Linked DNA regions of Mytilus edulis. The protein of the gene in region 2 purifies or fractionates together with the protein of the main gene of each other region. This does not show direct contact. Links are inferred from orthologs where the notes say so. Each region holds a gene or a part of one and is shown on either strand. Other genes may lie near its edges.

Region 1 (13,918 bases), on a different chromosome or scaffold from region 2:
GTGGTCAGTGTATGAATTAGATACAAATGCATTTTATAAAAGAATCCATTTCCTATATTTCAGCACCTTGTCTTATTTTCTCCATTTTAAGAGGAAGCAATGCAACCATTTCTTGGCAAATGTTTAACTCTTCAGGGACAAGAGCTTCAATGGATGGATGTTTGTTACAATAGTCAACAACAAATTTATAACAATTAATACTTTTCTGAATGTTTGCTATTCTTTGTTTTACATCGGGTGTTACAAATTTAGAATGCAGTCTTCCCTTAGAAAACGAAGCCACCAACGCTGGTCGGACATCTTCCGATGCAAATTCTTCAGGAAATTCAGTTTTACCCATTGGTTTTAAAGTGTCTAAGTAAGCATCATATTTCAAAATGCTTTGCTGGGCCAGTAGGTTTATTTTCTTCAAAGCATGGGGTGTCGGTCGCACTTCCTCATCTTGTAGTATTGCCACTTTTAAGTCCAACATCTGACTGTAAATCTCTGCTACTTCAAACATTAACTGCCTAACGGCAAGAAGATAATGTTGAGGATTCAATTCATTTATCAATGCAGAAATAATGTCTGCTCTTCTTTTATTCATTTTACATTGTCTTTCCAAGTCCATTTCAAAGAATGCTAAGTATTTATACGCTGTACTATGATCTTGACAAATTTCAACATAGTCGCTACATCTACCATCTAAAGCATAAAATTCTTTAGCTGAATTTATCCATTGCTGAATTTTTAAGAATACTTTTCTAGCCTCTGTGAAATCTTTCACCATTTGGTCAGTTACCTGTTCTTCCCTTGAGGTTACTTCAAGGTTAAACTTCCTAAATTTTTCATGAGACGTTTTTAAAGATGGCGCTCCATCTTCGTACATCAAACTATTTTTAGACGACTCTATCAAGGCTAGGCCGTACTTTATCCAACATCTTTCTATGTCAGCTTTCCCTTGTTGAAGCTTTTCTTTTGCTTCTTCTGAAGAATCTGGACTTTCCTTGTCTATGGCTTCCTGATATATAAATTCGGCACACGCCAAACAATGCCGTGCCAAAGTATAATCATCTGTAGATATGAAGTATTGGGATAATGTCGCTGCACAAAGTCCCCATTCCATTGGTTCATATGTATTCCATTCCAACTGTCTTTCTAGTGTAATTTGACAATACTCAGCAGAAAGCTCCTTTTCATCCAGTTTAGCATACACCTGTGCCATGTAATATAGAGTAAGCGTGTATGTTTTTTCAAATTCAAGATTTCGCTTATGCTCAATTTTGTCTTCATCCCATGGTTTTTCTAAATATTCTTGCAGTGACTTAGGTGCAGATCCACATTCTTCTTTGAAATGCAGATACTGTTGTTCAGCATCCTTCAAAAATTTTAATGCTTTATTATAATCCCGCCTGGCCGACCATAGAATACCCAGATTGTTTAGGAGATGTTGGTATACATTAACTACATTATTTTCAAATTTGAATTTTTCTAGGTCATCAATGCATTTCAATATCTTTTCTTCTCCAGTTGCAAGCTCTTCTGTGTCTATATAATTGATTGCTAGCTTTAAATTCAAAACAGCATTTATAGTGTGATAATCTTTGTTTTCCTCATCCCCTTCAAACAAATGTTTCAACTTTTCCTGCAGTTCAAGATATATTTCTCTTGCTTTGTACTTTGACCTGTAAAATTAAAGAGACTTATTTAATATTTTTAAAACCATACAGACAATCAAATCAACTATGTTATAGACCCATTGGTGGCCTTCGGCTGTTGTCTGCTCTATGGTCGGGTTATTGTTGCTTTGACACATTCCCCATTTCCTTTCTCAATTTTACCATAAACTAATAAAAGATATCAGGATTCAAATTTTTTTTGCATTTCACCTACAAAAGACTACCGGTAATCAATGATGCTCAAATAAAACCAGACGCTCCGCAGGGCACAGCTTTATACAAATGCAGTTGGTGCTAGTATGGACACAACATTCAAGCTTAATACAGCTCTGAATTTGGATTGTGATTAAATAGTTGACACAGCATAGGTTTCTGACACAGAATGAATGTGGTCTTATATCCAAAATTTAAATACATGGCCATCAGGATTGATTCAGCATATCAAAGAATCCCAAATATTCAATTTTTGTTAAAATCAAACAAATTTTATTTTGGACCCTTTGGACCTTAATGTAGACCAATTTGAAAATGGGACCCAAAATTAAAAATCTAAATACATGGTTAGATTCGGCATATCAAAGAACCTCAACAATTCATTTTTTTATGAAATCAATCAAAGTTTAATTTTGGACCCTATGGACCTCATGTGGACCAATTTAAAAACGGGGACCAAATTCCAAAAACTCAATACAGGGTCAGATTCAGCATATTTAAGAAAGCCCCAAATTCAGGAATAAAACCCCATTGAAATTGGTCAAGAAATAAGCAATTTATACAAAGTATTAGAAAAGGATTGTTTTTGGCTCCTTTTTGGCCCTTAATTCCAAAACAGTTTGGGCCATAACCCCCAAAAATCAATCCCAACCTTCCTTTTTTGGAGTGGAACCTTGTGGTACAATTTCAGAAAGATTCATACACTTACACACAAGTTATTAAAATTGAGAATGGAAATGGGGAATGTGTCAAAGAAACAACAACCCGACCATAGAACAGACAACAGCAGAAGGTAACCAACAGGTCTGGAAATTAGAAAAATACTTATTTTGACCCCTTCTGGGCCCTTGTTCCTAAACTGTTGGGACCATAACCCCCAAAATCAGTCCCAACCTTCCTTTTGTGGTTTCAAACCTTGTGTTTAAATTTCATAGAGATCTATTCACTTAAACTAAAGTTATTGTCCGGAAACGAAGTGTCTTCGGACGACGCTGACGATGATTATGACAACATTGTGATACCAATATACGACAAAAACAATTTGAATTTTTGCGGTCATATAAAAAATATGAAAAGGCCAAATAAAGTACAATGTTGAAGAACAATGACTACACAAGGTTTTAAAGCTAAGGTAATCTACCACAATCTAGTTGGTCTGTCAGAAACCATCTGAAGTAGAGATATTCAAGCAGTGAAGTCCCTCAAACAAAATGTTAAATTTTTGCACTTTTAATTAAGTTGAATAACAGTTGAATACAAAAAAAATTTGTAAGGGTTCCACGGAACCCAGTGTCTCGCCTACTTATGCTGTTATTTGCAGACTCAACAAAAATGATGAAAAACATCAATAAAAATTTCCCTCTCGATATTGTCTTTTGATTGAAAGAAGCTTCCAAGTTTGGTAAAAAAAACCAGGATAGTTTATGAATCTAATAAATGTTTTATAAACTTTAACTGCAGACTGTATGTAATGTTAACTGGAAGAAAAACTAAGTCCATTTATAAGTAAAATACGGAAAAAGTGATTTTTTTTTTGTTACTTCTGAATAACATCTTATGATTAGAAACAAGCTTTTGTCTAAGTTTGGTAGAAATCCAAGATAGTTTTAGAACATTATAAAAATTTTAAAAACTTAAACCACAGAGTGAATGTTTTGTTTCTGGCAGAAAACTAAGTCCATTTATAAGTAAAATACGGAAAAGTGGAAATTTATTTTTACAAAATTTTCTTCTTGATACTATCTTATGATCATAAAGAAGCTTCTGTCCAAGTTAAGTGCAAATCAAGGATAGTTTATGAAAGACTCAAAGTAATTAAAATTTTAAAAACTTTAACCACAGAGTGAATGTAATGTTTCCTCGCAGAAAAACTAAGTCCATTTATAAGTAAAATACGGAAAAGTGGAAATTTATTTTTACAAAATTTTCTTCTTGATAACGGTACTATCTTATGATCATAAACAAGCTTCTGTCCAAGTTTGGTACAAATCAAGGATAGTTTATGAAAGTTATTAAAATTTTTAAAACTTTAACCACAGAGTGAATGTAATGTTTCCTCGCAGAAAAACTAAGTCCATTTATAAGTAAAATACGGAAAAATGGAATTTTATTTTCACAAAATTTACTTCTGGATACTTTCTTATGATCATAAACAAGCTTCTGTCCAAGTTTGGTAGAAATTCAGTATAGTTTAAGAAAGTTATTAAAATTTCAAAAACTTTAACCACAGAGTGAATATTTGTGGACGCCGCCGCCGACGACGCCGAGGGAATGTAGGATCGCTTAGTCTCGCTTTTTCGAATAAAGTCGAAGGCTCGACAAAAATGTATGTAGTTTCTGTTACAGCTTTTTGATTGTGTACTTCATACATATAAATGTCAGGTTTGCTAATTAGATGACCTTGAACTTATATACTATAGAGTAATATGGGGTTATGAATTTATACCACATGGCAATACTTTGGTTGTGAATTGATTTTTACAATGGATATTAGTTCTTTATTTAAATAACTTTTGGTGTTAACTTTTAATTTAGGCTGTGGCTATTTTGCCCGCATCAGCAAAATAAAATAACAATTTCAAATTTTGCTGGCTCTGATTAAATATCTAAATTCAAGAAGTCAAATTAAAATAGCTTTTTTCTATAGAAATGGTTTATAATTTTGTTTACACATACATGACATATATACATTTCAAAGAACTGACTATTATTTCAAAAGCAAGTTAGTTGAATTCAAACATTTTTGTACATGTCTGTGGTTGACTTTTTTATATTTTTTATTAAATTGTTGATGCACTGAAATTTTTAACATGTATATTTTTTTTTATAAAATAAAGAAAAAAACCTTTTTTTAATTCTTATGCATACATGTAGCATTATATAGAGTGTGTGACTGATTTTCGAAATTATTTCAGCTGCATGTACATGGTTTGATACAATTTCATTGCAACAAATGGGATGCTCTTTATGATTTTTTTTCTTTTAACTTTGACTGATAAATGTTTTTAAACAATTATATGTACATTTTTGTATCTCAAATATTATTAGCTGTTTCTGGGAACAGTATATGTCAGTATATCTGTTTATATGTTCCTGGCTGTTTTCTTATTGAAATACTGGTGTATCAGTAATTATTTAATTCTTTTAAGTTGACAGTGCACATTTTCATAGAACTTTTCAAAAGCAAAATCAAATTTCCTCTTTACAAAGTACAGGCAAATAACACAGTTATTATTTTATTGCTGGTGCCAGTAAAATAGCCATTTCTGCAGCTTGAATTTAGATATTTTAATCAGTGCCTACAAAATAGCCTCTGCCTTTAATTCATGCAAGCACCTGTTCATTACTGAAGAGCAATATTAGTATTATTAAAGTATATAATCTTTTACATTTTGTGAATGTTTAATTTGAAAACAATACAGTTAATGTTATGAATAGGTCCTTGTATAGTCACAAGTGTTTCTCGTGGCACCAAGAACGAGGGTTGATTTGAATATACACGTAACAATGTAATGTATAGTATTAACTGAATAGTATAGTCACTGTGTACATGGTGTAGCTGTATCAGGTCCATTTGCGCCCAATACACTTTCACATCCCACATGTTCGCCCCATAAACTTTCGACCCAATTCTTATTCAAATTCCAGTTGCATTATTAGATTTTTTTTTATACATGTACAAATTTATTCTACCAAAATTAAAATTTAGGAATTATTATGTGAAATATGTGTTTTTTTTCTTTTTTTTATTATTGATTTGATGATTAATTATTCAAGGTTAATTATGTATGATTGCTGATAATTGCTATTCATACACAGCCAAAGGTATTATTATTGTGTGTTTGAAAATCTGGTTGTTGTTTTAGCCTGCTTTGAAGTAAATACTGCATGTATTTAGTTACATTGTGTAAGTAAAATGTAGTATGAATAAAACATATTTTTGAACAGCTTGATCCCTTTGTCATGTTTGTTCCCACTTTATTTATATTAGAAACAATGATTTTTTTTGTGTATAGCAATGCACTATTTAAACCAAAACATAGTTATTTATTCAACACAAAAAAAAACCAAAACATTGTCAGATTTTCACTTACATGACTTTATTTTGAAACAATGAAAAAAAAAATGTCTATAGCAATACACTAACCATGGAAACATGACTTGCGCCAAAGGCACAAAAACTTGATTACAAAATTATATAAAAAAAAGTGCAAACATTTAGGGAGCGAACAGACTTTGGTTGCAAATGTCTAGGGTGCGAAAGTGAAAGGGGGTGAACATGAAAGGGCACGAATGTAGGCGAACTGACCAAATTCTTTTGTGGAAGTCTACTATACCCTATATGAGGATAGTAATGGGGATACCTTCATGACGTATAACGGTAAAAATTCTTGCCAAATGATGTTAACGATAATTTTTAGTGCATGACAATAAAATGTACACTTTCTTTTAGACGATATAACAATCAGCGGAATTTGACAAATCACGCTATTTTTCCCCCCAAAATAATGGTAACGTAATTATTTTTGAGACATTTGACGAATCACGGTAAAAAGTTAAACAATTTGACATTAACCGTAGCCAGTAATGACCGTTTGACGCCTGACGGTAAAGGGCATTAACACTCTCCTATATACACTTACAACTGACTTTAAATTATAAATACATGTAATTGTAGGTCATTGTAGGTCTTCTAAAAAAAATTCAAAAAATGCACTGGCACTTGTTTTATGTGAAACGGAAAAGGAAGACCTCTACCATCAAATGAAACAAGTGCATGTGCATAAATCGAGGCATACATTTATGTCTGGCACATGCATCCATCTCAACCGACACTGTCACTGGCAGAGTCTTCCAGTGACACTCACTGACAGTGTCGGTTGAGATGGATGCATGAAGCTAGGCTATTTACCTGTATGGATCATCTTCTGGATCGTCGTTTAAGTCCTCATCTGACAGCTTCGTTGCACTGTCGATACGTTCAAATCCTTCACTACTCAAGAAATCTTGCCAGGCTTTAGACATGGTGAAAGTGTAGCGAAAGTGATTGTTCCAGAATAAAATATGCTAAATTTTTCAGTTACTGGTTTGGATCTTATTTATTGTTGGTTGAGCCAACGCACTGAGCGAAAATAAATCTGGAACCAGCAGTCATAGTAACAGACCGGTACCGGTTAAAGTGAGAATATTTTCCGAATAGATTATCCGCAAGGAAATAAATAGTTTTACCGACAAGAAAATATATTTTTTGAAGAAGAAAAAAAGGTTCAGAATTATCTCTGTGGTATTTTGTTCTTTTATTTACTTAATGACTTATTTCATTGTGCAATAAAAACTTTTAAATGGTACGTTGTGTTCATTATTTATTTTTTAATTTTAGGTTATCACATTTACCATAAACAATACACTGGTTTAAAATCCTAAACAGAACCAGTAACATTCCACTGAATATTTACATCTACTATCAGAAATGTCAAAAGGGTTAGAATTTCTTCTTCCATGACACCTTTTAATTTCTGTCAATTTCATGAAAGATTCTGTTACAGAGTTCAGCCTTTTGAAAACCACAAAAAATCAACCTTCATATCTCTAACACTGAGTAACAGTAAGAAATTGATCACTTAGGAGATAACTGTATTGTATATTAAGCTCCGGCGGCATCAATTTGGGATTTGATGGTCGCAAATCAAGTTTACTGGCGACGCGTTAGCTGAAAACAGAAAACAACGTTAAAACATGTATTTAAAATCTGTCATATGCCGTCTGCCCTTGCGCGTACGTCCCATAGCATCAATTGACAATTGATGCCATGTAAATAAGTGACGTTATCCAATCAAAATGAACGTTACAAACGATGTTGCATTAGAATAAACATTTAATGAATGGCTATTATTTACTTTGAATTTATTGAACCATAAAACTAATTTTTGACTCTTCACATTGAATAATCCGCAATAGATTATTGCCATTCATTATAAATAAATTTCTATCAAAAATAAGGCTCAAAGAACTTTTTATATTATATATATTAACAACGTCAGAGTGGGCGTGTCGTCTTCAAAATTGACAACATTAATAATAAAACTAAAAATTTTAACCAATCAGAAGACAGTATATACACCAAATTTATTTATTTGAAGAACTCTCAAAACAGGGGTTTCCCAAATTTTGGACACACTTTACTCAAAATGTTAAAAAGGTGAAACCATACATACAGAAGATTTTATGAAATTAAAGTATGTAATGAATTGTTTCACACAATATTATCCAATGCAAGGTTTTATCATTTTGATAAACATGATAAAGTGAAGTTATAAGTCTTAGGTGCACTGATACACCAGACTACACCGTACATGTACCGGTACTTCATTCTACTTATCGCTATTTGTCTGCCATTAATATAAGGCAGGCATATAACCTGTGAATGGGGACGAAGTCTGTATTTTTTTTTTTGAATTCAAACATGTTGATAAAAGAAACGGAAATACCATAATGTTTCCAATATTGGTTCTGTTGTTAGGGATTTAGTTGTGACGTTATTTAAGTTATGACGTCATATTCAATGTAAACAAAGAAACGCTGTTATCCAGGTAATGTTTTTTCATATCAAACAATTATTAAAAATGATTAGGTGTTGAATTCCTTCCTATATTTTTGTTGATATGTTGATAAATATATATTTTATTCAAAGTCTCATGCAAACAAGATCGGAAACGGAAGAAACTGGAAACGGAAGTAGATCTGAAAAAAAAAGTTAACGATTTTGAGTTCATTAGTAGAATGAAAAATTCAGGAAATTTTCCCGATTTTTTTTTTTTTTTAATTGATTTTTCTACCGTAATTGGGGACATTGTCCCATATTAATCATATTACTGGACATCACAACTTGGTCACCTTAAAATTTTGATGTCACAATAGAAATTGTCTGATGCCACTAGGAACATATATATATTGATATTCGATATACTGTTTCACAATACACCTTATCGCTTTTTTGTCCGCCATTACTGGATATCACACGGGTTCCTGTAAAAAGTTGACGTCATAAAACAAAATATCTGACGCCACAATGGAAAAGTGATTGTTGTATGCGTCAAAAGTTCAAGCAGCCGGGTCAGCCAGGATTAGCGATAAGGTGTATTAGGAAAAGAGATTGTTGCACAATGTCAAAATTTTAAGTGTTGCAGAATCCCAAATAACAATAAGGTCCCTAGATTAGTTGTATTTTCTGATAAGGTAACACTAAAATAATGATAGCCAGGTGAGAAATGCAGGCTTTGGAGTTACAAAGCCTCCTGTCTTGGTATACATGGTATAATACAGTAACTGTTTGCCAAGAAAGATGTATAAAAAACAAAGGATAACTTAAAAATAGATATTATATAAACTTATCTAGACTATTTTTAATCAAAGTTCCTACATACTATTATAAACTCTAAATTGTCAAAGCATGATAGACAAGTGGTGAATACATTAAACAGAGGACAAGAAATACAGAAAACCAATACAAAATTTGTAGTGCTAAAAATGCATATATATGATCTATAGTTACAGATATTTTAATGGAAAAAAAAATCTTTGCTTTCAGACTAGAAAAATCTTTATGGGATGTTGCAATACAGGAATCAAATGAAAGTAAAGGTATGATATCAGTATTTATTATACGACCGCAAAACAATTTTTGCGTCGTATAATACTATATCATGTTAGGATTGACTTTGGGAGGTTATGGCTCAAACAAATTAGAAATTAGGGGCAAAAAAAGAGGGAAAACTAGTTTTTCTGGTTAATGGACAATTAAGACAATTTAAAACCAGTGTAAGGGAGGTAATCCAATTACATTTAAAATACAATGTTGTCTATGTTTTGATTAACCTCCCTTACACTACTTGTAAAATATGTAAAAAGAAATGTCAGGTTTTGGACATGTAAAAAAATATATAAATAATTCAAACCATATAACCAATTCTAAGCTCATTGACTACAGTTATTCTGTGTCAGAAACCTATTGTGTGTCAAATATTTAATTACAATCCAAATTCAGACCTGTATCAAGCGTGAGTATTGTCTCCATTTTTGCCCCAACTGTTCAGGGCTGTACCTCTGCGGTTGTATTCAGCTGCGCTCAGCGAAGCAATTTATTCTCTATAATGTAATGTTGAGATTATGGATACAATACAGAAAAGAAAAGATATGTGAACTGGTATCCATCTATGACACAAAATTTAAATCAATGAAAAAAACACATAGCAAAGGAACAGCGCTTTTATTGTTGTTCTTCATCTGATAGTCACATTGAGACCTTCAGCATGGAGCAAAAAAAAATTCACTGCATCACTGCAAGTATTAGACAACCCTTAGCACATACAATGAAGAATATTTACACCTAAATGATTTTAATAAAATTCATTAAAATTTTGCGAGGACATACCCCATTCTCAAAATTCTGACTAGAAGGTCATTGCCACGTGGTTTAATAAAGTTATTCTATGGAGAGTTGATGACCTCAAAATAAAAATAAATCTTCATCTCAATTTAAAAAGTAAATAAAATAGCAATGAATTTTGAAACCTCTGGAAAATTATATGTTGTCATTTTAGCTGAAGGTGCTACTGGAGAAGAATCATCAGTGTTTATTGTAGGAGCAAAAAATTCAGTGAGTATTTTTCTGTTGATATTCTTTTGAGTCTTTTTGAGAAATATTGAATGGAAGGTTTGTAATGTTTTTCACCTCCGGGTGTGAAATGTTCTTGCTGTATTGAAGACCCATTGTTGGCCTTTGGCTGTTTTCCGCTCTTTGGTTGGGTTGTTGTATCTTTGACTCATTCTCCATTTCCATTCTCAATTTTATGATGTACCAGTAAATGTTTTGATAGAGAAGAACTATCATACATTTGAAATTTTCCACCTGTGACATCACTAGTACAGTATACATTAGTGTTGAGTGTTGACTGAATCACAGTGAAACACAAGTGACTTTGAATGATCTGATATACAGAGAGATATATATTTGAGAGTGAATCATATGGTTAATGTTTGTCACTTTTTAGTTTATGTTTGTTTGGAGATATGGTTCAAAAGTAACTTTTGTTTTTGTTTCAAGTTCAAAATTTGTATGTTCTGAATTTGATTTGTTCTTTATACAGGGAAAGACTTCCATAGTTCTTCGTTTCTTAGACAGGTAAATATGTTTTAATCATGTATTTTTCTAAATCACATTATTGATCATTTCCTTTAAGTTATTTAGGTAGCTAGATAATACACCCTATACTAAGTAAAATTATCAGTATCTATTTTGTTGCCCTTTGTGCACTTTTCACATTTTATGAAAAAAGATATAACTGTTTAAGTGAAAAGATAAAATATGCTACCACACAAAATATCCTAACTAAGCAATCATTCCACATCAAAAGGTTTTAGCCAAGATAATTTTAATTTTCAAATCACATAAAATTGAGAATGGAAATGGGGAATGTGTCAAAGAGAAAACAACCCGACCATAGAAGAACAGACAACAGCAGAAGGTCATCAACAGGTCTTCAATGCAGCGAAAAAATTCCCGCACCCGAAGGCGTCCTTCAACTGGCCCCTAAACAATATATATACTACATATAAAAAAGAAGATGTGGTATGATTGCCAATGAGACAACTATCCACAAAAGACCAAAATGACACAGACATTAACAACTATAGGTCACCGTACGGCCTTCAGCAATGAGCAAAGCCCATACCGCATAGTAAGCTATAATAGGCCCCGATAAGACAATGTAAAACAATTCAAACGAGAAAACTAACGGCCTTATTTATGTAAAAAAATGAACGAAAAACAAATATGTAACACATAAACAAACAACAACCACTGAATTACAGGCTCCTGACTAATGGGACAGGCACATACATAAATTATGTGGCAGGGTTAAACATGTTAGCGGGATCCCAACCCTCCCCTAACCTGGATCATGTGGAACAGTGGTATAACACTAGTTCAGTGATAATGAACGCCATACTAAACTCCAAATTGTACACAAGAAACTAAAATTTAAAAAAAATACAAGACTAACAAAGGCCCGAGGCTCCTCACTTGGGACAGGCACAAAAATGCGGAGGGGTTAAACATGTTTATGAGATCTCAACCCTCCCCCTATACCTCTAGCCAATGTAGAAAAGTAAACGCATAACAATACGCACATTAAAATTCAGTTCAAGAGAAGTCCAAGTCTGATGTCAGACGGTGTAACCAAAGAAAATAAACAAAATGACAATAATACATAAATTACAACAGACAACTAGCAATTAACTGACATGCCAGCTCCAGACTTCAATTAAACTGATTGAAAGATTATGTCTTCATCATATGAATATCAGGTACAATCCTTCCCGTTAGGGGTTTAGTATCAAACCATCATAACATATATGAGAAGAACATAACCCGTGTCATGCCAACAACTGGTTTTTAAATGAATGTGTTTAGTTCCGATACAAAGACCCTATAAGTGAATCAATATTAACGCCAAAATATGCAATCTTTAATGACCTGACAACAGTATCGTAACTATATCCCTTCTTAATAAGTCTATTTAAAGGTTTTGTTAGCTTCTGAGGTGAATACTGACATTTTTGTGCTTTATAAAGAATATTTCCATAAAAAATTGGATGTGAAATACCTGAACGTATAAGAAGTCTGCATGTTGAGCTATATTTACGAATGATGGTCTTATATCGATGATAAAATTTAGTATCAAACATTTATGTTACCAAATAATTTCAATATTTTTTTATCATGATCAAAACTGATCAAAATGTTTCTGTTACCATTATAAAATGTTTTTCATTATACAAATTGTTGAATATTCTGTTAAGACACCAATTTTGTCTACTTTGTTGAGTGGTCCTTGAATACCAGTTTTCCTGAATGTATTTAAATGCTTATTTTTTTATGTTACAGAGATGAGGCACCAAAACCAACTGTAGCTCTAGAATACACATTTGGACGCAGAGCAAAGGGGCATAATATTGTAAGTGTGACAATGTCTCTTCCATATTTCTTCTTTTAAATAGAATGACTTCTCTTATATTTTCTGCTAGTGTTAAAAATATCTATGAAGTCTTTTTTCGTTAGTCTGTATGAAGTTGAGCTATAAACTAAGATTAAGAACAATACAAGCAACAAATCTGTGGTAAAAGGTCCATTGTTTATCCCAATCAAAGTAAAGGCAGTAAATGTTATTCTATTCCAATGCAAGTTTGACTTTATATCCTTTTACTTCTTACATTTTCATTGTATATTTAAATCAGATATAAAATGATCTGATTTTTAAAGTTACAAGTGTTTCCAAACATTGAAATGTCAATTTTAACCACTCACAATTCCTATATTATTCACAGGAAAATTAACATTACATAGGACATTGCATAATTTTTTTATATACTTTTTTCAATTATTTTTTTAAGGCAAAAGATGTTGGACATATATGGGAGCTTGGAGGAGGAACATGGTTGTCTAAACTAATGGATGTTCCACTTAATCCATCATCACTAAGGTATATATAGGTTTATTATAACTTTGTAGCTGAATTTAAATAAGAATTAATTATATGCAAACCTGCAATAAAATTCACTTCTATCAAGAAAAAACCTCTTTTAGATCCATTGAAGTGATACCTTTATATGCATTTAGAACCCCAATACACCTTATTACTATTTGTCAGCCATTACTGGACATCACAATTTATGATAAAGGTTCGGGTGGAAGTGCTGCCTTGTAGCAGCATTAGCCTGCTCTTTTTTCGAAATCTACAAGGGTGTCTTTAATGTGAAAGAGATTTGACTGTCTCTTAACACGGGTCAGCCATTTATCGTCCCCTTCTGACAGACTATTATTGTTTCCTCAAGACCATACTCGCAAATGGTGTCAAGGGAGAGACGAAAATTCAGTCCCTGAAATTTTCATCCTGGAACAGGAATCAAACCAGGAACCTTTGTGTTAGTAGTTCGATGCACTAACCATTACACCATGCTCCTGATTATTAGTCATGTTAATAAAACTT
Region 2 (13,036 bases):
AAATATTTGATCAAAGTAATAAATAAATAAGTATTATTACGTGTATTTTACCTGAGTTTATCTGTCAAAAAAATGAACGCAAATGTAATCAAAAGCTGCGCACAAACGTAATGAGTTTTGCGCGCAATTGTAATGGTAATGCGCACAAACGTAAGCACCGATCTGAACTAGGAGCTAAATCTGTCCAAGCTTATTTTCTGTAACTGCATTATGTAATATTGTGCATTTCACATTCTTTACTTCAAATAAATTTTAGCTACACATGGGACCAATAACATTTGTTTATCAATATGATTGATGACTATCTATTTAAAAATCTAGGTGATTCCCAGGTCTAATGAAATTTTGTACCTACTGTTTAAATATTTACATCAATAAACCAATTATCTATGTTATCTTCTTTTAATTTTATTTTATAAATTGAAAAGTTACTCATTATGAAGTAAAGGTACAGTCTTTTATGTTGGTGCAAATATTTTGTCTGTTAAATTTTACTACAGTTTTATTCATTGATCAAAGTATGTATAACTGTACGTGCTGGGTTTACATCTTCAAGAAGAATAATCAACTTCTAACTGAAGAAATTTATGACTTGACTAAAATTTTAATAAAAATTCTTTCACTTTGTTTACAAATTGATAATGGATCCTACAACAATACACTTCATACTTTATTGACAAAACTATCAAAGTAAATCAGTAAAGACCATAATACTTAAATGTCTGTGTAGATTTAACATGCTTAACTAAAATCACTTCAAACTTTAAAGTCCTATATTATTATTACGAAAGGGAAAACAATAACAGCTGAGTACTGTTCATTTAAAAATCAAACAATAGATTTTACAATACACAACTCAAGTAAAGACCTAGTCAACACTAGAATGGAATTTTCATTTAAACTTCAAATGAAGTAGATTCAAATTGATAGATTTTACTTTGTTGAGGACAACAGATTATAATTTTAGGGCGGCAATGGTAATGGAATTCTCTCAAATATTATCACAAAGATAATGTACTGAAAATTACTGTGTCACTTACAAAAGAACTAATTATTAAGTTTTAGTATTTGAGGAGTTGTTTATTGAAAAGGACAAGAAACTCTCAATCATATACTTTAAATTACGTTTTCATTCTACATGACATGTTTTACAGAGCTATTTTCTAGGTTGTTGAACGGTTAACAGTCTGTTTAATAATATAAACATCTCTCTCTTTTTTAGGCTGTACAGTGACCTAAAGATCATTTAGTTTCTGGTGGAAAGTTGTCTCATTGTCAATCAAACCACATTATATATATATACAAAATATTTGAAAGTTCTAGAAGATAAGCACTTTGTACATGTACAGTGCTTCAAGATATTTTTTTACAAGTACCTGTACTTGAAACCCTTATAACACATGTACAATGTATAAACATAATAAATATGGCATATTTATTTGAAACACATTGTTAAGATGTGTAAGAAAAGTACAAGTACAGTCAATCTTAAATGACCAATGCTAAAAAAACTATCAAATTCTGTAATTCCGATATTTTCTTGGTTGTTATAATATTACATGTACATGATTTCGAACAATAGAACTATTTTGTAGGGGTAACATTCTCCAATCAATGGTGAGTTCACATTTCACATCAATATTGTTTCTTTTTATTTTTTTGTGGAGATAACATGATCAAGAATAAGCAAAATTAACCCAGTGAAAAAGATTTCATATTACAGTTAACCATGTGCAAAACACCAACATACATTGTTGTACATTAATTACCATGATGACTAAGAGTATAACAGTACTAGTACAGATATAAACATACCATCTCTGAATCTCTGGTCACTTCATGGTCTACTCGTGAAAATAATTCTTCACAAAACCTGGGAATGATTCCTATTTCATTTCTATCTTCGTTTACTTGTCCCATGATACTGTAATTAAAACAAGAACATGTAAAAAGACATTTAAGACATATATATAATGAAAGCAGGTATGAGTTTAAATTGTTTAATATGAAACTCTGAATATAAATGTAGTTTGATAATTACATACATGTCTATTTGGCTTTATATTCAGCATTTTTCAAGGTTTATATCCTCACTTAGAGATTTTTTAGCTTTTTTTATACAGTCATGACAGTGCAAACATGTTGCATCATTTGAAAATTACTTTAACTCTTGGTTTCACAATTAATGCTAGTACAATGACTGTAGTAATGATATTGTGTTTATCATTCTGAAATCTCTGTTCATTAGGTTTTAAATGGACAGGTCACAAAAATATCCTGTCTGCTTGTTTTGAATTCAACACTACAATGTACATGTAGCTATAGCATCAGTCTTCACGATGAACTGTTAAATCTAGAGGCCCGGAGCTCAATTTTTGAAAAATTTTAGTTACGATTCTATTGGCCTGTAGATATGATTTTAACAGGCCCGAGAGAAATTTTACAAGCCTGGGATGCCTGGGCTGCCATTCAGCGTGAAGACTGTAGCATGACCAGCAAAAGAGACATATATACAACATGTATACATGTACTGTAGATCTATGCCACCAAGAGAGTTTACCTATATTTCACCTTTATATTGTTTACTGGTACAAATGACAATAATTAATATTATAGTGTTATTTACTGGCTGTTTCTGTATTGGCACTGGTATAGATTCAAGGTTTGCTGTATTGGCCTCGAGACCCGTAGGGTCGAGGGCCAATACAGCTGACCGAGAATCTATACCAGTGCCAATACAGAAACAGCCAGTTCATAACACTTTTATTAAATGATTATAAGAGAATTAAAAACCGGAAGTGAACGTCCCGTATTAGCCCATGGGCCAATACAGCTTTTTTCCCGCTTTTTTCCGTATTGGCCCTCGTTTTTTCCGTTTCAAAAGTTTAAGACATTACAAAACATTGCACATCATTTAACCTGTTTATTTTATGACTTTAATTTAAAAAATATTATACAAATGTTTTTATGCATAACGATACTTCCAGAGTTAAGTAATGGCGTAATAAAATTGAAAACCGGAAGTGAACGTCCTGTATTAGCCCTAGGGCTGATACGGCTTTTTTCCCGCTTTTTTCTGTATTGGCCCTGTTTTTTTCCGTATTGGCCCTGTTCGAAGAGCAATATTAAATCTTGATTTATATCGACAGTGAAACGTTTTTAGTATTGCACATGCTGATTTATCTGTATTAGGGCTTATTTGCTCATATCATTTAATAAAGATCTATAATATAGATATTTTAGTACATGTACATGTAGTCCTGTACAAATGTAATCAGCCAAAAAAATGTGTTTTCTATTACAAATGTACATCTTTCAAAAAAATAGGGTAGGTACATCATATATTGTACATAGCGATTTTATTTTATTTTACCTCCTTTTTTTTCCCGTTGAGTCTATGGGAGGAACATTTTGACTCTAACAGTGCTTAATCAAAAATGACCAAAAAAACTTTAGGGTGGGCTATATTTTAAAAATATGGTGCATACGTATATCCTTAGTGTAAACATGGTAAAAATACGCAAAAAAAACAACTGTTTTATTACATATCATATGTACCTGTAACTTTTTCCACTTCCAGTTTGACCATATGCAAATAAGCATGTGTTATAGCCTTCAAAAGCTTTGACCAGTAAAGGCTGGGCCAATAACTTGTATATTCTTTCTTGGTCAGAAAAATTGCCATTTTGTTTATCATATGACCAGAATGAAAAATCATATGTAAATGTCTGTTTAGAACCGTTATCCTTAGTAACTGTTGTTTCTTTATCACACATAGATACCACACAGCGGATGTTGCCTATCTTTTCTTCTCTGAAAAAATATTTTATCAGATATAATGTACATGTAAACATGGTAAAACAAATTTGTACAATTCAATATGCATAAATATTATTGTACAAAATATAAATTCACACAATTTAATATAAACATGATAAACTATACTTTGAAGTTTATTCTGGAAACAAATAAATGAACATGTGCCGCAACACAATGCAAGAATTGGAAAACAAGTGACAAGTCACTTAAAATACAATTTCTGAATGTCATTACATGTACAATTGAAATCATTATCATGATTTTCATGGATGTACAATAAAAAAAAACCAGAGATACACCAATTTTTTTTAGCTTGTAGCACCTGTTTACAAGACTTGCAAAGTTGTCATTTCAGAACTTTATGTAAATGTATTTTAAAGTTAAAATACATTGTGTACTGTACATGAAAAATTTATTAAAATAGGTCAATGACCCTATTGAGAGACTCAGAGCAATACTTAGATACATGTATAAAACATTTTTTTAAGTAAAAAAGGAAATGTGTTCTTAATCTCTTATCAAATTCCCCAAACAAAAAACTCAAAACTGACAATAATGACAAGACTACTGCACCTTGCATTGAGAGGTCGAACTCGTACTGCTACTGTTAAACTACTACTATCTTCCCTTGGTTGATCATCATCATCGCTGTGGAATTCAAATCGTGATAAATCCTCAAGCTGTACTGCATTATAACATTCTGGAGTAGCAATCAGCTTGTCACCTTCTGTGTATCTCCTTTTAGGGGTCTTGCAAGTGTTTGGCGAGATAAAATCAAACCTGTCCATTTCAGGGGGTCCTCTTGGTTCCTTAACTGGAGTAAGAAAGTTTTCTTTATTACATTCTTTGTTATTAGTCCAATTTGAAATAGAATCATGTTCTGCATTATCAGTTGACTGGTCACAAACACTTGAATTTGTGAATGTTGTGTCACCTGATAAAGTACTTGTATTACTTTCATATGCAGAGAGAGAATCATCGGAAGAATTTGTTTTGTCAAACGACAATTTTATACATTCAGATCCTGGTTTAATTCGTCCTCTACTGTGTGTACCACCTATTGATATTTCAACAGTTTCTGGATTAAACTTTGCATGGGTTTTTAAACTTTCTGTCCCATTTTGTATACACACGTTTGGAACTTCAGGCAATTTTCGTTTATTCCTCGCCGACAAAGATAGTCCCGGTATTTTCGTTGCAGAGGATGACATTTTCACCACAATAGACATACAAAAACGCAATTACGAACAAAATCCCCTATGTTAGATTGTCATGGAAAGGAGATTGATAAACAGAACAAACCATACAATTTTTTTGGGACGAAAATATATCACTATAAAAGTTGCACGATCGCAGAGAATTTAGTGTGGAAATAAAAACATCAAAACTGTCACTTATTCCAAGACTTTTAAGATTTAAAAGGTTGTTTTCGCTTCATTTACTTCCATTCATTCAAATCGTAGTGTTTACAAAATTTGAAATGGCCTCCACAAGTTCCTTGGGACTTCGTAACGAAGGAAATGATTGGTTAAAAGTTAAGGCGATTAAAATAGCTAGATCGATTTCTGGAGGCAAACCAGATGAAAATCCGTCAGAGAAATTTAAAAGTTACTTCTCTAACAAAATTTAACAAAAAATAAAATCCATAATTAAATGTGAAAATAATTTAAGGACAGCAATTTAAAAATCAATACAGCTAACTTAAATAACTTTATAGAATATCGAATTTAATTAGCATACAGTAGTTTTCGATTTTCAATTATGAGATACATTTCAGTGTAAGGGGAACAAACTTTATTTTAATAATGTGTAAAAACTTCTATAAGATTTGTAATATAATATATTTTGAATATCAATGCTTTATTGACCAAAGTTGAAACAGTCAGTAATTTGCACCAGAATGTTTATAAACGATGTCTTATTATCTAAGCATGCAGCTACTGAATTTTCCCCTAACAAAATATTGCATTGCAATGTACTTTGTTAGATGTAATACCCATCTATGGTTATATCAAAGACATATAATACATTTTATGTCTTTGGTTATATCATAGATGTTATGTATTACATCTATGGTTATATTTAAAGAAATTTATGAATTATTATTGTTATTTTTTACAAGTCATTTTCTTTGAAAATACTGATCGGATTCTATAATAAGAATAAGTACGAAAAATACCCAGCGGCTACACTCCATTATGACTTTAATTAAAACTTTTTTTTTACAATTTTATCGTTAAAAAGTTTTCTTACCCTTTCTCCACTGTAATGGTGTACCACCTGACGATGCACATAAAGTTTTCCTTTTATTGTTCCTCATTTTCTTATCATAAATAAATTCTCCTTCAAGCAAAATTTACTGTCTCCTAGTCATAATAAATATTTTCATTTGATTTATCCGCGAAATATAAAATCTATATATAAATTTAAGAGTGGAGTAAACATTGACCCTTTGCCACTTATGTCCAAACACCGGTGTCATAAGGTCCCTCCCATTTAATTGGTTTAGGCGACACGGGAAGGGTGCTGTTTATCTAATAATTTTACAATTTTACTGTCATTATGGCACGTGTGACAATTACCTGTGATTATCACCCGAATGACGTAACATTGATGATCCTAATCGACAGGACAATCAAATTAACTTTTAAGTATTATCCTTTAATTGTTATAGGTGTCTGTTATCAAGCAATGTTTATTTTTTTATGTCAATCAGCAGATGGTTAGAACTGAAACATATAAATTGTAAAAACAACTTCGTCTGACTTTACTCTCTCATCTTTTCTACATACATCTTTGTTTTTGTTTATATTTATCATTATGGATGTTTGTCATTTTTTTTTTGTCATTTTTTATGTAAGTGCATATTTATTTTGTTCTAATTTTTTTTTTATATATGTTTTTTTTTTTATTTTATTTTTCAAATAGTGGTGTTTCCTAGTTTACTTTTTAAACATAAAAATAAGACCGTTTATACAAAATGTTAAGTAATTTAGAAAGAAAGAGGGGAATCAGACTATAGAGTTTAGGCATATTAATCATTAAGAAGATTTACTTCAATTCACAATTTTCACAATTTTCCATCTGATGTGTTTGACTAGAAAAAATACTTTTACAATTAACCTTTCGATGTGTTAAGAGACTGACGTTAATACAAAAATATGAAAAAATATGAATACACCAATAGAAAACACCAAACTACAATACCTACTACAAACTACAAGCCCAATGACCAAACGTCAAACTTTCTGCTGTTGTCCATTCTCAATTTTATTAAGATAGAACAAAATAGTCCTAAATGCATAAAATAAAGTACATAGGTACTAAGGAACTTGGGGATGTTGTGCTTCTTTCATGGTAAAAACAATTAAAAAATACATTTCACTATATATCTTTTTTTTATTGAAAACTGTTAAATGTCATCCTGTAGATTTTTGACAATGTTAGTATAGTATTGAGAGTGTCCCGGTGTATAGAAAATAAACTCATCATAGATACCAGGACTAAATTTTGTATATACGCCAGACGCACATTTCGTCTACAAAAGACTCACCAGTGACGCTCGAATCCAAAAAAGTTAAAAAGGCCAAATAAAGTATGAAGTTGAAGAGCATTGAGGACCAAAATTCCTAAAAGGTTTGCCAAATCCAGCTAAGGTAATCTATGCCTTAGGTAGAAAAACCTTAGTATTTCAAAAATTCTAAATTTTGTAAACAGTTAATTTATAAATATAATCATATAAATGATAATTCATGTCCGCACAAAAAGTGCTGACTACTGGGCTGGTGATACCCTCGGGGAAATAAATCTCCATTAGCATGCAGTGGCATCGACCCAGTGCATGGTTGTAAATAAACTCATCATATATACCAGGACTAAATTTTGTATATCCGCCAGACGCGCGTTTCGACTACAAAAGACTCATCAGTAACGCTCGAATCCAAAAAAGTTTAAAAGACCAAATATAGTACGAAGTTGAATATACTCCAATTTTCCCGTCTGGAGGTTACGATCCAAAGCAAGGATCGACTGTTGCACTGTGCGGGATGTATTGATGCACAGTAATGTGTAAGAAACAGTAACGTTTCTTTTTTTTATATATATAAATAAGGCCGTTAGTTTTCTCGTTTGAATTGTTTTAACGTCACGCACGCTGTTCCTACAACCCGTAGGATCTTCGAAATTTCCTCCGCAAAACAAAATAAAATGTTAACAAACACTAACCACTATAAAAACTAAATCAATATATGTTTTCCTTTATGTTCTTATAGCTCTTGGTCATATGCTTAGTAATATCTAGTATATTTGAGGATTAAAACAACAAAGCTATGTGAAAAAAACGGATGTCGAACGTTACATTTTAAACAACTGTTTTATCTCTTATGTATAGTTATCCTATTTCTTATTCTCTGATCTTCCCGAAATTTGGCAGAAGCAACGAAGTGTGTCAGTTCTCGGTTAAATTAAAGTCGTTCTTTTGTCGAATTTCGTTTGACTCGGTTGTTGCATATTAAGCTGGAATAATGACGTTTTTCTTTGACTTAACGACTGAAAGGTAGTTTTATAAGTAGACATAGCTAAAGATGTCTAAAAAATGTGAGATAATTATAACATCTACCGAAAGAACAAACATTTGCCTCATTGTTCGTGAGTTCAAAAATTGTAGATTCTATAAAACCATCTCTACACAGTCGTTTTTCAAGCGGTAGCCATTTTGTCCAAGTTGATATTTCATTTGTCCAAGCAATATTTCAATATTAAAGTAATTTATAATTTACCAAAACAAAAGTTAGATAAACAAAAATTACATAAAGTCTAGATTCTTTTTTTATTAACTGCATGTTTGGGTCTTACAGGAATAAAATGCTACGAAACATTACAAAACGGTAGCCATTTTGTCCAAACGTCGAAAAATCCAAACAAACGCTTTTTTTTTCGACGTTACATGTGCAAAATTTGTTCCATCGTATATTCCTGATACATAAAATGAATCGCGTTGTGAAATTTGAAAAAAAAATTGCTGGTTGTAGAAAAAAAACCACGGTGCATGTTGTGCATGAAACGGAGGTAACTGAAAGACTTATCGGAAACAGCGACAAAAACAGTATTATTGAATTAATGCAACCCCGTATTATACGGACGATTCAGGAGATGATTAGTACATTTTAAAAACAAGCAACTAGTTACTTCAAATGACTGGGAAAATAATTTTCAAGATCGGGTTTTAGTAATTTTATTTAACTGGTTGTATTTCGACAAGGTATGTGTCACGGCAAATTTTTAATACAATTCCATTCAAATTAATCAAGGGTAAATATGTTTTTATTTACTTGCAGAGTGTCGGATATATTTGTATTATAGGGTTGAATCAAGATATGAAAAATTTACAATGACAGATGATATGTACCATGAAACTTTAGCAGTTTTGTTATAATTCAATTATTGAAAACCGTATACTGCTGTCCCATTTTCTTTCCTTCAAGTTCATTACTTACGACAATACAACATTTTAAGGTGGTTTAAGGGTAAACATTATTTATTCGATTTCCACAACTTGAGGTAAATAAATTCATGGAAATTTGACATCACAAAATTAATAGAGACATATTTAGAATCAACCAACTACATAAAAAAAGCAAATGAAACTTACAAATTGAATAAATGTACGTCAAAAGTTTCAGAAAACTCGCTTTGACGTCTGGTGGTTTAACGTGGTGTTGTAGGAACATCGTGCGCAACGTTTTTTACATTGTCATTTCGGGGCATTTTATAGCTAACTATTCGGTTTAGTTTTAGTTTTAGTTTAAACATATTTTATTTGCTGAATTAAAGCAAAATGGATTAGACACAAGTAAATCATACTTATGAAGTCTTCTCCATAATACAGTATAAAGTTACAATAATAGTATAATATAATGGACATGCATATAAAACAAACAGTTTATACAATATTATACAAGCTTTCATAGGTGAACAAAGAGGAGTGAAAGTAAAAGAGAAAAAGAAAGTTTGAAAAGTCGCATAATTCTGTGACGATGACTTGTGAATTGATGACAACGATGACGTTCTGTGTCAGTAATAATAACGCTCTATCAAGGCATAAGAAAACTGTTTGACCTTTTTATAAAATTTTGAACATGTTTGAAAAGGAGTAGATCCGGTAAGGGCCGATTTTGGCCTTAAATTTCAGGTTCATCGAACGAAAGATTTTAGACACTTTTTAAACACTTAAGTGTCTATTTAAATTGATTCGATTAGTTAATGTAAAAGATTTCAACTGATTTAGTCATTAAAACGCTCCGATTCAAGCTTAAATATATAAAATCTATTAAATATGCCAAACAACGTCACTGTTCAGATGGTTTTTGTCAAAAATGAAAGTGGCCGCATCCGTGTTCATCCTCAAACTTTATATATGTTATAATACAACTTACATTTTAATATTATGAATGAACACGAATGCGGCCACTTGCATTTTAGACGGAAACCGTCTAAAATTTAACTAAAATGCTCAAATTGTGAAGATTTCAGTAATTTAGCATGACTTAAAGGGAAAATTCGCGATTTTTTACTTATGGTTTAAATATGTTCATTATGACATAATATATATATTCACAAAGTTTTATCGCTATATGTGCAGTAATAAAGGAGAAATTCAATAATTAATGAAAAAATATTGACTACTTCCTGTAGGTCGTGACGTTTTTTCCCTTTAATGATGCTAGTACCTGATATATGTGCATTGTATTGTCAAAAACAGCCCATATTTGTGTAGCAGAAGCATTCTACTTTCCAGTAAATGGTTTAAAGATAACAATTTTCATACTTTTGTAAAACTGCTATATTTTGGGGCCAAAAAGGGGTCCTACTGAACCTACTCTTTTGAATATTTTGTTCGTTCGAAAGTTCCAAGTGTCCGCAAATTAATAGTTTTGTATCTAAAACAAAGTTTTCAGATAGCCAGTTAAGGTTATGGAATATGGATATGACAGTTGTTTTCCATCAGTTCCGATGGTTAGAATTATAACAGAAATGACAATTGTTTTCCATCAGTTCCGATGGTTACAATTATAACGTTTGATTTTGTCAGATTTTATGGAGTTTCACTTTTTTATATATATATATACACAAGTCTAAATTGAAAACTACGTTCAAACCTATGATTGCGTTTGATAAAAACCGCAATTTTTCATACGTGTGCATGTAAAACAAATTTCGTTGTAGAAGGGTCTAAATACAACACAAACAACATTTTCCAAAAGACCAAATAAGTGAAAAAGTATATTTAAACAAAACGCATTTGACTAACGGGTCGAACAACTGATGTTCTTAAACCCTGCTGACTGCCATTGGCGATTGCCAAATAAATTTATCACAAGATGTAGCAAAATGGATCTTAATATAAATGTAATACTAAACAGAAAACAATGAACTTGCGGCAGAGATGTTATGCCACAAACATGAGGTGTCAACATTTTTTTATACACCAGATCCGGATTTCGACAATAAATGTCTCTTCAGTGATGTTAGGGATCGAAAACGTAATTTGGAAGGCCATATAATTTACCTCAATTTAGGATAGACTGTTGAATTTAGAGAGTCAAAATAGGATGCACGGATCATATAAACCGGAGGGAAAATATGATACAAGCCCAAACGAAAAAATATAAACAAGTCTAAATTTAAAACTATGTTCAAATCTATGATTGCGTTGGATAAAAACCGCAACTTTTATACGTGTGCATGTAAAACAAATTTCGTTGTAGAAGGTATATATAAATATATTATTGCTAATACTTTTCTGTATCTACTCTAACAATTCCTCATTTTACAGCAGTAGTCAATTTCTCTGTAATTTGTTCTCATTCGTCTTGAATATGCATAAAATATTTGACTCTTGACGTTAAACTAACTTACAACAATCAATCAATGATGGTTATTCTTTAAAGTTCTAGTCCGTAGTCATGTGAAAAAGAAGATGTGGTATGATTGCCAATGAGACAACTATCCACAAAAGACAAAATGACACATACATTGACAACTATAGGTCACCGCATAGTCAGCTATAAAAGGCCCCGATAAGACAATGTAAAACAATTCAAACGAGAAAACTAACGCCCTTATTTATGTAAAAAATATGAACGAAAAACAAATATGTAACACATAAACAAACGACAACCACTAAATTACAGGCTCCTGACTTGGGACAGGCACATACATAAATAATGTGGCCGGGTTAAACATGTTAGCGGGATCCCAACCCTCCCCCTAACCTGGGACAGTGGTATAATAGTACAACATAAGAACGAACTATAAAAATCAGTTGAAAAAAGCTTAACTCATCAGATGGACAAAAATACAAGTGGACGTGGCCCGGTACTTATACATCTCGACACAAAAAGACACAATGAACAGATCTGAGAGTACTCGCAGTTATCTGACAATTCAAACGAGAAAACTAACGGCCTTATTTATGTAAAAAAAAAAAATGAACGAAAAACAAATATGTAACACATAAACAAACGACAACCACTGAATTACAGGCTCCTGACTTGGGACAGGCACATACATAAATAATGTGGCGGGATTAAACATGTGTCTGTTAAATTTTCTATAACCGGTACTTTGTTTTCGGTTCTGATTCAAAAAATAGAAATATGCATTATGAGTTAAGCTCATTGGTGAAGGCCTTACGGTGACCAACAGTCGCTTACTTTAACGTTATTTGGTCTCTTTTGAAAAGTTGATCAGTAGCAATCATACCACATTTTTCGAGTTTAAGAAGATCCAACATACTATAATTTGTAACAACTCAAAATGAACTATATTGGTAGAAATCAAATCATGTGTTTATAATATCGAGTAAACAACTCAAACTTGTAAATTAAAGTCATTCATAAAAGTAAGTAAATATGGAATACTTTTATAATATATCATCTGCAGTATCATCTGCATGACCAGGATACACTTTGACAAGACAGCACCGATTTATTCAATTTATTTCAACAAAAATATAAGACATAAGGTTTTAATTTTCCTATGTTAAAGCTGTCCTTAAACTTTTTGTGTATGCTTTTGGGAATCTGTAGATTTCTTTAAAATAAAAACATACACAAACTGCGAAGCAAAAGGCTTGCCATAATAGTCTGTTGTTTGCTATTAACCTGTATTTGTGAGTTTAATTCTTCAAATGCAACCATTTCTAAATCAAGCAAAT

Evidence for each region.
Region 1: the proteins of kinesin-like protein KIF14 (region 2) and KIF-binding protein-like purify together in Homo sapiens (affinity purification with mass spectrometry; 3 studies listed by BioGRID and IntAct, counting the BioPlex papers as one, with this or other methods). This does not show direct contact. The link is inferred for Mytilus edulis from reciprocal best matches to the Homo sapiens genes KIF14 and KIFBP.

Annotation. Positions count from the first base shown.
Region 1 is NC_092346.1:36,839,304-36,853,221, reverse strand, and holds the start of KIF-binding protein-like, read right to left. Parts: upstream 7,020-13,918; 5' UTR 6,897-7,019; coding exon 6,784-6,896; intron 1,665-6,783; coding exon 53-1,664; 3' UTR 1-52. Other genes in the region: cytoplasmic dynein 2 light intermediate chain 1-like, read left to right, coding at 7,342-7,352, 9,460-9,512, 10,472-10,527, 11,018-11,052, 12,817-12,886, 13,323-13,411. UniProt on the Homo sapiens protein: Activator of KIF1B plus-end-directed microtubule motor activity. Required for organization of axonal microtubules, and axonal outgrowth and maintenance during peripheral and central nervous system development.
Region 2 is NC_092345.1:3,947,209-3,960,244, reverse strand, and holds the start of kinesin-like protein KIF14, read right to left. Parts: upstream 5,342-13,036; 5' UTR 5,049-5,341; coding exon 4,393-5,048; intron 3,814-4,392; coding exon 3,559-3,813; intron 1,925-3,558; coding exon 1,816-1,924; intron 1-1,815. UniProt on the Homo sapiens protein: Microtubule motor protein that binds to microtubules with high affinity through each tubulin heterodimer and has an ATPase activity. Plays a role in many processes like cell division, cytokinesis and also in cell proliferation and apoptosis.